Saccharomyces cerevisiae S288C: one gene and its partners. The protein of the gene in region 4 purifies or fractionates together with the protein of the main gene of each other region. This does not show direct contact. Each region holds a gene or a part of one and is shown on either strand. Other genes may lie near its edges.

Region 1 (3,160 bases), on a different chromosome or scaffold from region 4:
ATACTCTGTGGACGTTAACAACATTCAAAAATTCACCCGTGGTGAAAGTTTGAAATTAAACAAGCATCATGTGGAAGACCTTGGGGAGTACTCTGAAGATCTGTTGAAAAAGTGTTCTCTTGATTCAGATGTGGTCATCACTGGTGTCCCTAGTGAAAATTACAAATTCCCCACCGAATACATCAAAGAAGGTGCCGTCTGCATCAATTTTGCATGCACCAAAAATTTTAGCGATGATGTCAAGGAAAAAGCTTCTCTTTACGTTCCAATGACTGGTAAAGTTACCATTGCAATGTTGTTGAGAAACATGTTACGTTTAGTAAGGAACGTAGAACTGTCTAAAGAAAAATAGAACATTTGTGGCTGTTCAAATAAGCATAGGTAAAACAGAATACATAAAAATAAGGGAAAAAAAGAAAGATCATTTGTAATGTACTTACTACATACATATAGAATTCTCCTCTCTTAGATTATCATATAATATACAAAGTTTATGGGTCTTATTTCTTCTGTCTTTTAGCAGAGGGCTCAATATCAGTGGCACTGACGAACTCTTCTTCGTATTCTTGTCCATCATCCGAATACGACGCTTCATCTTCGTAGTCTTCATCTACCTCTCCATCACCTTCTTCAGTTCCTTGGTCGAATTTGGATTTCAAACCCTTCATCTTTCTTGTTTGTAGTTTACCCAAATCTTGTTTGCCCATATGGATTCTACCCAATTTATCACCCATGATATCTAATTCTACATTCTTCTTTGTCTTCATTTCTAATTGTTTTGGCTTCTTGTGAGCTTCAGTGACCATATCTGGACTTGGAGTATGAATTCTGCCGATTTTGAAATCTAGACGTGGCCCAATCTCCACCAATTCAATACGTGGTAATCTCTTACCACCTTGGTCGCTTTTATAACTTTTTAATTTGTAAACACGGAATAGAACGTTCGGCAATGGCTCACCATCTTGGAAGTCACCTTGAATGGTCATGGAAATGACATGTTGTAATCCCGCAACATCCTGTAAATCAGTAGATTCGCCTCTAAAGAAATCTAAAAACAAAGATTTAATTTGCTTGTATACGGGATGTGTATCAAATGCAGCACCTTGGAATGTAAACATAGGCTTCAACCCTACAGTAAATGTTAATTTCTTAAAATCAGATAACAACTTGAAATTATCTGCAACCATTAGTTCAATCATATCATATATTTTGTAGCCAAATGTACGTATAAAGGTCATGTTGTTTTTACGCTTTTTGGAACTTGTCATCAGCACCATCAATGAACAGTCATTCTTTTCACTAAAGAACTCTAGTGGCGACATGTCTTCGAAAGGATGAATATCATTCTTACGATTGAACCTCTTCATATCTGGCTTCTTCAAGGCACTCAAATCTACCATAATATCGTGCAGATTCTTGTTACAGCTTTGCCCTGGAATGAATAGCGCTTGCTTGACATTCTCTACCAACTTAGCTTCCCTCTTTACCAAAGCTCTCTTGGCTCTTGCATTCTTGGGTTTTACGGTTCTAATCATTTTTTCTGCCAGTGTTCTCCTGCGCTTTTGGATATGATAACTTCAATACAACTCATCGATATACCAAATCACTTTCCAATAATGCATTACACTATAAGAAAATTCGATCCTTAGCTCATCGCAAAAAAATGAAAAATTTTCAAATCGTATAAAACGATATATTTGAGGATTTAGGAATCAAAATAGCAGAATAAACCAAAACATACACCATTTAGGAATAAGGTTTAGAGGAGCTCGAGCATACTGTTACATCCAATTCAAGTGAAGTACATTAGGATAGCCATATGAGTGAAAAAAAAGTACATCTTCGTTTGCGGAAGGAACTTAGCGTACCCATTGCGGTGGTTGAAAACGAATCCCTGGCGCAGTTGTCTTATGAAGAGGAAAGCCAGGCCTCTCTAATGGACATTTCCATGGAGCAGCAACAGTTAAGGTTACATTCGCACTTTGATAATTCCAAGGTTTTCACAGAAAATAACAGATACATAGTAAAAACCCTTCAAACAGACTACAGTAGCGGATTCAGTAACGATGACGAATTGAATGGATATATCGATATGCAAATTGGATATGGACTAGTCAATGACCACAAGAAGGTTTACATCTGGAATATTCACTCCACTCAAAAGGATACGCCCTATATAACTGTACCATTTCGTTCTGATGATAATGATGAAATAGCAGTCGCGCCCAGGTGCATACTAACTTTCCCTGCTACAATGGATGAGTCTCCATTAGCACTGAATCCTAATGATCAGGACGAAACCGGAGGGCTTATCATTATCAAAGGTAGCAAAGCGATATATTATGAGGATATCAACTCCATAAATAATTTGAACTTTAAGTTATCTGAAAAATTCTCTCACGAGTTAGAATTACCCATCAACTCTTCGGGCGGAGAGAAGTGTGACCTAATGTTAAACTGCGAACCTGCTGGTATAGTGCTTTCTACAAATATGGGCAGAATATTTTTTATAACCATTAGAAATTCCATGGGTAAACCTCAACTGAAGTTAGGCAAACTATTAAATAAACCTTTCAAATTGGGTATCTGGTCCAAAATTTTCAATACAAACAGTTCAGTTGTCTCATTACGAAATGGACCTATCCTCGGTAAGGGGACAAGGTTAGTATATATTACTACTAACAAAGGAATTTTTCAAACATGGCAGTTGTCTGCCACGAATTCCCATCCAACAAAATTGATTGATGTAAACATTTACGAAGCCATTTTAGAGTCGCTCCAGGATTTGTATCCATTTGCTCATGGTACGTTGAAGATTTGGGACTCTCATCCATTACAAGATGAAAGTTCACAACTTTTCCTGTCATCTATTTACGACAGTTCATGCAATGAAACATATTATATTCTTTCCACGATTATCTTCGATTCTTCTTCTAATAGTTTTACTATTTTTTCCACTTATAGATTGAACACTTTTATGGAGTCAATAACCGACACAAAGTTTAAGCCTAAGATATTTATACCTCAGATGGAGAATGCTAACGATACCAATGAGGTAACTTCCATTTTGGTAATGTTCCCCAATGCTGTTGTCATTACTCAGGTGAACTCAAAATTGGACTCTAGCTATTCAATGAGAAGAAAGTGGGAAGATATTGTT
Region 2 (5,572 bases), on a different chromosome or scaffold from region 4:
TATTATTATATCATTAGCTTTATTATCATTTTTCATTTTTTTTATGCTTTTCCTCCTTTAAAACAAGACGCTTTATTCTCTATATTCTTCCTTGTACATATTTTCAATAGCGGTTCATATTAGGCTCATTATGAGAAAAGGTTGGTGAGAAATTTAGCATATTTTAAACAATCATTTAGCTAGATGAATCAGAATGTTTTTCCGACAAATAGTAGCTCGCGTGGCGTAATGGCAACGCGTCTGACTTCTAATCAGAAGATTATGGGTTCGACCCCCATCGTGAGTGCTTTGTTTCTTCCGTGATAGTTTAATGGTCAGAATGGGCGCTTGTCGCGTGCCAGATCGGGGTTCAATTCCCCGTCGCGGAGAATTTTTTTTAATTGATAGTAGCAGGTACAGGAGAAAGAGTAAATAATAGAAAGCAAGGTACGTGATGGGAATTGATCAAACTAATATCGCTATACCTATAAGAATTTGCGTGTTTGTATACGTAAAGAATATATAATATATTGATGTGTGCGCTGAGGAAGGTAAGTCTACACAATTTATCCGTTAGCCCAAATTAATCAAACAGCATATTTTTTAGTCCACTCCTTAGCGGTGGCTTCATACTTAGCCTTATCTGTCTTGTAGATTTGAGCAATTTCAGGGACCAAAGGATCGTCGGGATTAGCATCTGTTAAAAGAGAGCAAATAGACAACAAAACTTTTGAAAGGGTTAGCGCCGGTGACCACTGGTCCTTTAAAATATCAAGGCAGATATTACCACTCGAATTAATATTCGGATGATAAATTTTGGTCGTAAAGTTTACCTTCGGTGGCTTGAATGGATAATCAGTTGGAAAGTGAATAGACAAAAAGAAAACGCCACCAGCGTAGGGTGAGTCTGAAGGACCCATAATAGAGGCTTGCCAATGATACAGGTCATCCCCTACAGGTCCTGCTGAACATGAAGCAGGAGGATCTCTTCGGAAAAAAGTTCAAAAAAGAAACTCATGTTAGTAATCCTTTTTCTTTACAGATCAAGAAAAATCATTCATTTTATTTTTAACATACCTCCCTAAATCACTTAATTCCTTGGCAATACGCTTGGAGGAAGACATTTTTAGTTTAGTTGAGGGTGGTGAGCAGAAAATGACTTTTCAAGATGGTAGTCAATAAGCAGTCCTGACCTTGGAAAATAAAACTCCAACCATCTATTAAAATCCGGGATACAATTATTTTTTATAATTTTGGGTCGGCTATCTTTGGTACAAATGAGTAAGGCGGCAGCCGCTTTATTACCCGCTCGCAGTGGCAACTACCTCCACCACAGCCATGCTTCAAAAGCGCTTGCTACGAGAGTTTACACCGTACTAGCACTAGCAATACATCTAGATATCTAATTGAATTACGCACAATATAAGAAAAATCGGTTTATGAGCCTAATGAATGAGTACCAAAATAAGTAGGCAAAAAGTACAGCCTCTCATGGAACAATGAACACAACCCTAGTATAATTCATCTGTACTTTGGGACTTTCTGTGTAAGTAAACCAAGACATAATTTAATATATTTGAGAAATCTATCCTTATCCAATTGGTTGTTGCAGATGATTTCATATAAGCAAAAATGTTGGTATAACTTTCACCACATGCAATAGCAGATCTTTTGTATAACGCGTATTGCCCAACATAATCTAAGATCAGATCATTAATAAGAAAATCTCATTTCCAAAACCGATTGGACATATACTGTTTAGTAATAACCGCCGATATGATGTTCTTCCGTTCTCTTGCCTCTGTATTCCGTTACCCGTTGCAGAATGAAAAATTTTTTCTTTTGGCGATGAGGTAAAAAATTATCAGAGATGCCAAAGTAATGGAGTTGCGAATAAGAAAGCATTATGTCGTACACATCGGAAGCGAAATTCTATAGTTTGATAAATTTCTATAGATATTAAACCTCTCCAGTGTCTTTGTTGGTACAGTAATCAAAAATAATGAGTGAGAACAACGGCAATCCGCTGGATTTGTCTTCACTAAGAAATAAGATTTCGTCAAAATTGCGAGACAATAACAGCAAAAAGGCGAAGAAAACCCACAAAGGCAAGGACGTGAAGGCCAGTAGTAATTCAAAGAAGGTAAATGAGGACATACGTCGTGAAGCACTAGCATTGGGTGCCAGCGAAGAAGATCTAAAATTGATTCAAGGATTAAGCGATGATGATGACGCTAAGAGCGAACAGGAATTTGATGCCGTCGCTGACGAGGATGCTGACGACAAGGGATTCAAGAACGATCTTCAAAATTTCATGAAGAATGTAGGATTTGACCAACACAAACTCGAAGATGTAGACGATGACGATATAGAAGAAGAATCCACTAGCTCCAAAGAATCTAAAATACCCGCTCAAGAGAAGGAACATGCACAATCAAACATTGCATCATCGACAATAGAGAAAACCTCCCAAGAGTCAATCGATAATGGCAGTGAACAAGAAGAAAACACAGTAGAAGAGGCTAATCTTAGTTCAGACCAAGAGCCAGAATCAGAATCTGCAGAGAAAGAAAAGAAAGAGGAGAAAGATGGAGGTTTAATTACTCAAACTACTATTATCTCATCTGACAAACTTATTATTCCTTACGATAAACCATGGTATGAAATTCCATTGGATCCTCAAGTTGGACAAAATGATGATGTTGAAGAATTATCCAAGGAACAGATTGAGAAACTTTTTGAAAGAGGTAAGCAAACGCTAGAAGCTGACAACCAAACTTACTATGAGGAGTTTACAAAGGACTCATCGCAGGCCAAGTTCATGTCCCAAATCCTATCGGACGGTACCCTCAACGATAAAATATCTGCCGTAACTTTACTCATTCAAGATTCGCCATTGCATAACACTAAGTCTTTAGAAACTCTGGTTTCATATTGTGGCAAAAAATCGAGAAACTCTGCTTTACAGAGTTTAAACGCTTTGAAGGATTTATTCTTAAATGGTCTTTTGCCCAACAGAAAGCTGAGGTATTTCAAAAATCAACCTGGCTTATCTATGATGCTAAACAAGAAAACTCTTGCAATTTTCTATTTCGAAGATTATTTAAAGAAACTGTTCTTTCGTGTTTTAGAAGTCTTGGAAGTGCTTTCCCACGATCCAATTATTCACGTTAGATTACAAATATTAAATCATGTATTTGATTTATTGACCAACCAACCAGAGCAGGAATTTAATTTATTGAGATTAGGTGTAAATAAAATTGGTGATATTGATTCCAAAGTTTCTTCGAAGGCGTCATATTTACTACTGAAGTTGGAACAAGCTCATCCGAATATGAAATCTATTGTCATTGATGCTATCGTTGATATCGCATTGAGACCGAATGCGGATTATCATACCACTTACTATTCTGTTATTACTTTAAACCAAACCATCTTAAAAAGATCAGAAGACTCTGTTGCTAATAAATTAGTAAAAACATACTTCACTTTGTTTGAAAAATTCTTGATTAATACTGATAAAGACAATACCAATGGCGTTGTTAAGAGTAACTCAAAGTCGTATGAGGAGAAAAGAAAGAAGAACTTTAAAAAGGGTAAACACGGTGGTAAATCTGTAAAAATCGAAAAAACGGAAAATGAAGTTTTAGATGAAAAGAACTCAAAATTATTCAGTGCTTTGTTAACAGGTATCAATCGTGCATTCCCATTCGCTCAGATTCCAGCGTCTGTCTATGAAGTACATATGGAAACTCTTTTCAAAATCACACACTCCTCTAACTTTAACACCTCAATCCAAGCATTAGTTTTGATTAATCAAGTCACCGTCAAAGCAAAGTTGAACAGTGATCGATATTATAGAACATTATACGAAAGTTTATTTGACCCCAGACTGGTGAACTCTTCTAAGCAGGGTATTTACTTGAATTTACTATACAAATCATTAAAACAAGATGCACTCAACGTTGAACGAGTAGAAGCCTTTGTCAAGAGAATTCTTCAAGTTTGTTCTCATTGGTTGAACGTCGGCACCATTACTGGTTTTTTCTTCTTATTAATCCAGTTGGCTAAAACAGTTCCACAAATAAAAAATCTTCTAACCAACACGCCAGTTGATTACGAGTATGAATCTGATGCAGAAGAGGAGCAAGGGGACAAGGACATAAAAAGGAAGGAATACGACGGCCGCAAGCGTGATCCAAAGTTCGCCAATGCTGAAAAATCTTCTTTATGGGAAATCAACAACTTCATCAATCATTTTCATCCTACTGTGAAAACATATGCAAACGCCTATGTGACAGGAGAAACAGAGCAAATAGCTAAACCAGACCTGGGTCTATTTACTCTATCACACTTCCTTGACAGATTTGTCTACAGAAGTGCCAAGCAGACCAATACAGCAAGAGGTACATCTATTATGCAACCTCTGTTTAGTGGCTCACGAGTTAATGACTCTGTCTTAGTTAAGGCATCTGATATTATGCATGACCAGGGTCCCGTGAACACTGAAGACTGGCTAACTAAAAAAGTTGAAGATATCAAACCTGAAGATAAATTCTTTTATCAATATTTCACTACCAAGAAAACCGCTGATGGAAAAGGAAAGAAATCTAACAAAGCATCTAATTTCGATAGTGATGACGAAATGGATGAAAATGAAATTTGGAGTGCTTTGGTTAAATCGAGACCAGATGTTGAAGATGATAGCGACGACAGTGAACTTGACTTCGCTGAAGATGATTTCAGCGATTCAACTAGTGACGATGAACCTAAGCTGGACGCAATTGATGATGAAGATGCTAAAAGTGAAGGCAGCCAAGAAAGCGATCAAGAAGAAGGCCTCGATGAGGATATTTTTTACAGTTTCGATGGAGAACAAGACAATAGTGATAAAAAACGTTCCTTCGCTGAAAGTAGTGAAGAGGACGAGAGCAGCGAAGAAGAAAAAGAAGAAGAAGAAAATAAAGAGGTATCCGCAAAAAGAGCAAAGAAGAAGCAGAGAAAGAATATGCTCAAAAGTCTACCGGTATTTGCATCTGCCGACGATTATGCTCAATATTTAGATCAAGATTCAGACTAGAAAATAATAATACATTAACTAAACACTTCGGTGTTGTAAATTAAATAAGGAAAACAGAATTTTGTACAATAAAAAACGGTCCAATACGAAACCTTGAAGCGAAAGACGCATATCAGAGTTTTGCTGATAACTCTACTTATGTCCGCTTTTCAACATTATTAGAGCGGGAGTAAACGGAAAAAGAGTAATGCGGAAATAGAAACGGATTTTAGCTACAACTATGTCAGTTGAAATCGCCGAGATTGCTGACATCGTGAGACGAAACTAAAAACGATGGAACCACGTGACTCCTATTAGAAATAAATAATCCAGAACTCATTTTTAACCATTTTGTTTATATAGGCACATTTGTAGCGACAATTTTCTGTTAGCTAATTGCAGTAAGCAAAACAAATTTGTGAATACTTGATTAATATTCTGTGAAAGATTTTTTAATTATGAGTACCAATAAGTTCGTTGTACGAATAACGAATGCGCTCTTCAAGTCATCACTGGCTAGCAACAGTCCACCTG
Region 3 (3,093 bases), on a different chromosome or scaffold from region 4:
TGATAATCCAGAAATTTTCTGGGCCATTGTGTTCGGCAACTTCTTGGTAACTGTAAACTTTAGGCATGATTGTTTGATATTTTATGTTGTAGTTGATTGATTTTCTTTACTATGAAGAAAATGAAAATCGAATTTAAATATTAACGAGGAAGCCTGAACGAAAATTTTTGAGAAAGTTTCAAAAGCTTCTTGTTCTTTATATAGTTATTGGAAAAAGGACAATATATATATTTGTTATTTATTGATATAATAACAATGCTTCTCAAATATCGCTTTTTGGCCACGAATGCGACAAAAATTTTCTCGTTATGCTAACCTCTCTCACTATCTCGATCTCGTATAGCTTTCTTTTTTGCAGCTATTGTTCTTTTTCTGGGCCGTTAAATTTTTCATCCGGAAACTCCAGGCTATTACCCGCTCCGTGATTTTGGTCGTTGAATCTTCGTAAAAGCAATCATGTAAATATCATTGAATACGGACAAACGGAACTATATTGCTGGAATTAATGATATAAATGGTTTCCCAAGTTTGCTATATCTCCTATTCTATCTTACAAAACCCTTTTCTCAGGGTGGATGAGAAGTGACAAGTCACCATTTGAATTCGATACCTGACTTGGCTAATTTTTTTATCCTTTCTTCATGTTTTTGCTTCATGTTATCCTTTAGCTGTTTTACTGGTTTGGTGATACCTTTCTCTACTAGAACTCTCTTCTTGTATTTGTACAATTTCTCGATTTTAGCTCCTTTTGGTAATACACGCACTTGTAGTAGATGACCCATCAACAAGTAATTGTTCATAGATTCTTGGGCGATCATTGCATCCTCTTTATTAACGAATTCTAAGAAGCCATAATGTCTGGAATTTCCAGTTTTCTTATTACGTGCTAATCTCACTTCTTTTAAATCACCGAATTGAGCAAAATATTTACTTAATTCCTTTTCGTGGAACCCATGTGGCAGTCTACTCACATAAATAATCCCAGAATACTCTTCAAGTGTCTTTTTATCTTTCGACTTTTTTTCATTAGCCTGCTTCTTAGGATTCAATCTTTTAATCTTGTGTGTACCGCTCTGCTCATCATCAGAAGCGGCTAAACCTTCAATTTCATCTTCATCTTTTTCGTCTTCTTCATCTGAACTGCTAGACGATGTTTCTAGAGCCAACTCTTCTTTCTCCTGTATAGGTTTTTCTTCGGTGGGTTGTTTGGTTACTGTTTCCTTGGTGGAAGTTTTGCTTGTTGACTTTACCATATCGATCTCTTTCCTCTGTTATTTTATCTCTAGAACTTAACCCTATAGAAAAGGTAGTTAATGAAGTTAAAAGTAATGGTAATCGTCTTCAAATTAAGTGATGAGATGAGATGCGATGCACTACTTCATTTTTTCTTATGGCGGAAAATTTTTCATAGTGAAAAGAAACAGGCAAAATCTGGGGGGTAACCGCATACGTCTCTGCTATGCCGTCTGTAATGAGGATGCTAAAGTTGCAATAGCTGCTATGCACATTAGAAAGGGTTTAGCAGGATAATGAGTTTTCAGAGATAGCACAAAACTCGAAAGGTTTCGGTACTACTACCTAGACAGCTCATCTTTCAATCGTTGAACCTTGAATTTTGAAGTTTAGGGATATTAAAAGATACTGTTAATTCTATCAATTTACACTAGACTTTGACATATGTATATATATATATATATTCACACAGCTTCATCATGAAATAAAAATCAAATGCAGAAGTGTATAATGAGAAGTACAGAATTCAAGACTCACTTTAGTTTTCACTCCATTTTTAGTTTTCCGCTCTCAGCTGCTCTTCTCGCTTTGATATCAGCGTCTGAACCAGCCTCAAAGGCATTCATAAACGTCCAATTCATTTCTTCCCCATTAGTTAAAAAGGAGGTGTTGCCATTCATTGTAAGTTTCCACTCTCTCTCTTCAAATGGTATACTTTCATTTTCTCCTTTCACCAGCTCAAATTTATCAATAGCACAACTTCCATTTCTTATAAAGGTGCCTTTGTTATCAATGGGCTCTTTGGCACTGGAGAATTTCAACAAGTTCATACCAAGAGCGGATTTAGTGGCTGCGTGGGTAACTATCATAATGGTCTTTACATTTGGAAATTTTCTCTCCACTCTGTCAATAAAGACAGGCCAGAATTTATGGCACCTCTCAAAAATATCTTCTTCTGTTTCACCCTTATTACTAGGAATAATACTAGGTTCCCAGTCTGGAGAGATCATGCTTGGAAAAAACTTACTCATAACTTCATGAGTAGCAGGCTCCGGGATAATGGGTCTATCAGGCTTATACCATTCTCCTACACCACGATCGACATATAATGGAATCTTTAAAGCCTCCACTGTGGGTTTACTAGTTTCTAAACAGCGGTAAAATGGGGAGGAGAAAATCATTTCTGGTTTGACATCTAATTTAGAGATATAGTTCGCCAGTTCATGTGCCTGTTCAACACCGTGTTCCGAAAGCGGGACATCGTTATCAATACCGGTGGGCGGTGGTGGATATGGTCCCTTTGGTAGCCAGTTTGACCTGTAACCATGTCTGGCAATGTATATATTTTCGATAGCCATAATTTATAGCACTATTTTAACCTCTTGTACAACTAATTGAACGTCTTACATATTGAACGAAACTGCTTTACTTCTAGGATTGTTTTCAAAGCTTTTTTATAAATTTCGAAATATCCGCTATTCGGATGACGTGATGACGCTTCGGCACCATTGATTATTTTTCCAGAGTTTAGATGTCTTCTATGTGCAACTGAACAAGTAGCCTTCGAAAGCTAGAGGGATAGATACATTACTTGTGACCACCTATTTACGGCATCACAAAGAAAGCGAGATGGCTCCGACAATAAGCAAAAGGATAAAAACTCTCTCCGTGAGCAGACCAATAATATATGGCAATACGGCTAAAAAGATGGGTAGCGTTAAACCACCAAATGCTCCTGCCGAACATACTCATTTATGGACAATTTTTGTCAGGGGCCCACAAAATGAAGATATATCGTACTTTATCAAGAAAGTCGTTTTTAAACTTCATGACACCTACCCAAACCCTGTGAGATCCATA
Region 4 (3,956 bases):
TTGTAACCTCTAAAAGGGTTGCACTCAAGAAAAAAGGTTTTCCATATCGACTTATCTGAGTTTCTTTTTTTTGCTTTTTTTTTTTTTAGCCCATTTTTTTTTTGACGCATTAGTCGTTAATGATGATATAATGTCCACGTGATGACATTTCAATCTGCAACAATAGCTCGGCAACTGGATTACTAGCAGTCATACGTATGTCAGTCACTACACATATATATATATTAATGTTTAACTAATTTTTTTTTCTTATCTATCTGATATTTATTCTATAACTATATAAATTTGTCTCTTCACTTCTAAATACCTCTGTTAAAATAGACCTTTTCAATTGGCTTCCCATCCTTATCCTTCTTGCCATGTAGTTCAGGTTCTAGTTTATTTAAATGGATTGCTTGTCTTTGAGGGAAGATACCGAGTGCAAATGGCAAAGCTGAGAACATTGTGACTGAGATCAACCCCAAATTGGCCAAAGTTTGCACACCGAGAGACTTACCTTTGAGGACACCGCGTTGTAGTCTAACCAAAATCAAAGGTGGGATGACCATAGTTGGAGTGGCGTTAATCACTCTACTTAATGCAGTTTCACCAACTGCCATGAAGGCAGCCTTCTTGGACTTTCCGACTTCGTCACCGTTAGAGTCAAACACAGAAATACCCTTTCTAATTTCGTTGCCTCTCATTAGGAAGACGTTGACAATACCGGCACTGACCACGGCGGCAAATGGCACCAAACGGCCCAAGATCAACTTTGAATGTGGAGAAATGTTTTTCAACCTGGGAACTAGGTTATTTAGACCTAACGCAACACCACACGACGCAGTTACAGCGGCAGCGTAATTGGTGAGCAATTGGGACGTGGACATAGGATGAGATTTGTTTGCGTTAGCGGAATTAACGGCGACGTTTAGCGATTGATTTGCCCATTGCCAAAATACAGTCCCTGCCGTACCCAAACCAGGCGTCAGCATACCTACAGTAACGACTAGGTTTGATAGCACGTTGGAAGACATACGGAAGGGCAAAAGAACTGTCTTCCCTGTGTCCGGATGCACGGTGGAGTCCAGTTGTTTCTTGGCTCGCCAGAACTCCGGAGTAGTCTCTTTTAGTTCACCGTGACGATACGCACTGATGATTTCTCTAGCATGCGCCAGGTCCTTCTCAGTAGTTAACAACATAGTGGGGTCGGAAATCTCTGCGCAATGGCGGATTCTACCCCAATACGTGGATAAGTCATAGCGGGATTCGGGCAAATCGATGGGCCCTGGGACTGATGATGCCATATTTCTCTGCCTTGTTTATTTTTTTCTTTCGATGCTGTGTGGTTTTATTATTGCTAACTTGCAGTGGTCGACGCCTTTGAAAACTGTAAAGCTGATGCGAAGACCTAACAGTCTCTTATCCAATTACCTCAATCTGGTACGCTCCGGTACCGGACGCCAGTACGAAAGAAAAACTTTTCGTTCGTCTCGGGCACCATTGGTATAAAAAGCGCCGAGGCAGCGATCATTTTTCTAGTATTACTCTTCTTTCATTTTTTAGTTATCTTTGATTTTCGGTTCCGAAGAAGGCATGATACATATTAAACATGCCTTCTATTCACTGTGCCATCTTACATCCGTAGGTGATCAGAGGGGAAAAGAAGAGCTAGAGCAACTCCCACACTCATGAGCGTCCTCATACTGTTCTGGGCGCTTCTCACAGGTGCTTCTTTTAGTGTCTCCCATTGGCCCAGATCGGTAGCTGCGCGAGTGAGATATCTTTCATTCATTTATATTTATCTGTAGCAATAGCTTCCTTTACTATTTTATTCTTAGGGAGAACTTTAGCTTATTTCTTGCACAAGAGGGTTTGACAGTTTTCTGTTACCCGGCCAGTACTTCAAAAATTTTTCAAAAATTTTCTGAAGTGCTCATCTCATCGCAAACCGTAGGAGCAGTGAAAGGCATATGCTCATCTGTATAATTGCAAAAAGACATATTCTATGTTCGCAGAACCAATACGTTACCTAAAGTTTTAAAGACAATACCAAGGGAAACTGCACAAATTCAATATGACAGAAGATAAATCGCAGGTTAAAATCAGGTTTTTCACGCGTGAGAAAGATGAATTACTACATGTACAAGATACTCCAATGTACGCCCCCATCTCATTAAAGAGATATGGGTTGTCCGAAATTGTCAATCACTTGTTGGGCTCGGAAAAGCCTGTTCCTTTCGATTTCTTGATTGAAGGTGAATTGTTACGTACTTCATTGCACGACTATTTGACCAAGAAAGGTTTATCGAGCGAAGCCTCGCTGAATGTAGAATATACCAGGGCAATTCTTCCACCATCCTATTTGAATAGTTTCAGCAATGAGGACTGGGTTAGCTCATTGGATGTCGGCGACGGTTCCAAGCATATTATTAGTGGTTCTTACGATGGTATAGTTCGCACCTGGGATTTATCAGGTAATGTGCAAAAGCAGTACAGTGGTCATTCTGGCCCAATCCGTGCAGTAAAATACATTTCCAATACAAGGCTAGTTTCGGCTGGTAACGACCGTACTTTGAGATTATGGAAAACCAAAAACGATGATTTGAAATTAACTTCACAACAACAGGCACAGGAAGACGATGATGACGAAGTAAACATAGAGGACGGTAAGACACTGGCTATCTTGGAAGGTCATAAGGCACCAGTAGTCTCTATTGATGTTTCAGACAACTCAAGAATATTATCTGCATCATACGACAATTCTATTGGGTTCTGGTCTACTATTTATAAGGAAATGACAGTTGTTGATCCATTAGAAGATATAAACAATCCAAACAATAAAATATCCACTGCTGCTAGAAAAAGGAGAAAATTGACAATGAAAGATGGTACCATTAGAAGACGTGCCCCTCTGTCTCTGTTAGAATCCCATACAGCTCCTGTTGAGCAAGTGATCTTCGATTCTACAGATAATACCGTTGGTTATTCAGTATCACAAGATCATACCATCAAGACATGGGATTTGGTCACCGCGAGATGTATAGATACAAGAACAACATCGTACTCGTTGCTTTCCATTGCTCAATTGTCGACTTTGAACTTGTTAGCATGTGGGTCCAGCGCCAGACACATCACATTGCATGACCCACGTGTGGGAGCGTCTTCCAAAGTTACTCAGCAACAACTAATTGGTCATAAGAACTTCGTTTCCTCTCTGGACACTTGTCCCGAGAATGAGTATATATTATGCTCGGGTTCTCACGATGGTACCGTGAAGGTATGGGACGTCAGGTCTACTTCTCCGATGTACACCATAACAAGAGAAGACAAATCGGTCCAAAAGGGCGTCAATGACAAAGTTTTTGCTGTCAAATGGGCTGAAAAAGTGGGTATTATCAGCGCTGGTCAAGACAAAAAGATTCAAATAAATAAAGGAGACAACATTTTCAAAAACTGAGAAAAAACTGTTGTTGTTTTTATGTAGAATAATGTACTGATATACTTGAAATAAATTTGGTTTTGCCAACAGCTTTCGCAAATTTCTGTCACCTTCTTCTTTATGTAAAACGACATTACTTGCTAAAAAAAAAAATACTTCTATGATAATGTGTACTTGTATGAAACTTCTATAAATTTAAATTGGTGAATTTTATCCAGCTATCCCCCAATTTACTATTTGAATATATGCAATTGTGATCTGTCTTAAGACCTTTTCAAACCATTCTGGCGGAAGCATCGGTGGCCATTTCCGTATACGAATAACCGTCTTCATTATCCTTGATAGCTGAGTATAAACTATTGGAAATGGGTTCATTACGATTTTGCGCATGTTGCCCGTCCTCGCGATCAAACGAGGCAGGAACGGGCTGCGTATGGGTCCTGCGCAGAGATAGCCTTTCACCTGGTTTTTCTCTAGTCGAAGGGTCTGTTTCCATGGTCCTTAACGTGGTCATCCTTGTTAGATTCAATTCACCATC

What was found.
Region 1: the proteins of YTM1 (region 4) and RPF2 purify together in Saccharomyces cerevisiae (affinity purification with mass spectrometry; 9 studies listed by BioGRID, with this or other methods). This does not show direct contact.
Region 2: the proteins of YTM1 (region 4) and MAK21 purify together in Saccharomyces cerevisiae (affinity purification with mass spectrometry; 6 studies listed by BioGRID). This does not show direct contact.
Region 3: the proteins of YTM1 (region 4) and NOP15 purify together in Saccharomyces cerevisiae (affinity purification with mass spectrometry; 5 studies listed by BioGRID). This does not show direct contact.

The regions. Positions count from the first base shown.
Region 1 is NC_001143.9:591,006-594,165, forward strand, and holds RPF2 (rRNA-binding ribosome biosynthesis protein RPF2), read right to left. Parts: upstream 1,536-3,160; coding exon 501-1,535; downstream 1-500. Other genes in the region: MTD1 (methylenetetrahydrofolate dehydrogenase (NAD(+))), read left to right, coding at 1-352; NUP133 (Nup133p), read left to right, coding at 1,820-3,160. UniProt on the Saccharomyces cerevisiae protein: Required for biogenesis of the 60S ribosomal subunit.
Region 2 is NC_001136.10:568,668-574,239, forward strand, and holds MAK21 (RNA-binding ribosome biosynthesis protein MAK21), read left to right. Parts: upstream 1-1,981; coding exon 1,982-5,059; downstream 5,060-5,572. Other genes in the region: TGL2 (triglyceride lipase), read right to left, coding at 1-36; E2 ubiquitin-conjugating protein UBC5, read right to left, coding at 567-966, 1,057-1,103; YDR061W (uncharacterized protein), read left to right, coding at 5,497-5,572.
Region 3 is NC_001146.8:417,236-420,328, forward strand, and holds NOP15 (rRNA-binding ribosome biosynthesis protein NOP15), read right to left. Parts: upstream 1,254-3,093; coding exon 591-1,253; downstream 1-590. Other genes in the region: CYB5 (Cyb5p), read right to left, coding at 1-67; YNL108C (uncharacterized protein), read right to left, coding at 1,779-2,591; YEATS domain-containing protein YAF9, read left to right, coding at 2,863-3,093. UniProt on the Saccharomyces cerevisiae protein: Involved in the biogenesis of the 60S ribosomal subunit. Required for pre-rRNA processing and cytokinesis. Associates with the precursors of the 25S and 5.8S rRNAs.
Region 4 is NC_001147.6:830,760-834,715, forward strand, and holds YTM1 (Ytm1p), read left to right. Parts: upstream 1-2,053; coding exon 2,054-3,436; downstream 3,437-3,956. Other genes in the region: FSF1 (Fsf1p), read right to left, coding at 300-1,283; TPO4 (Tpo4p), read right to left, coding at 3,693-3,956. UniProt on the Saccharomyces cerevisiae protein: Component of the NOP7 complex, which is required for maturation of the 25S and 5.8S ribosomal RNAs and formation of the 60S ribosome.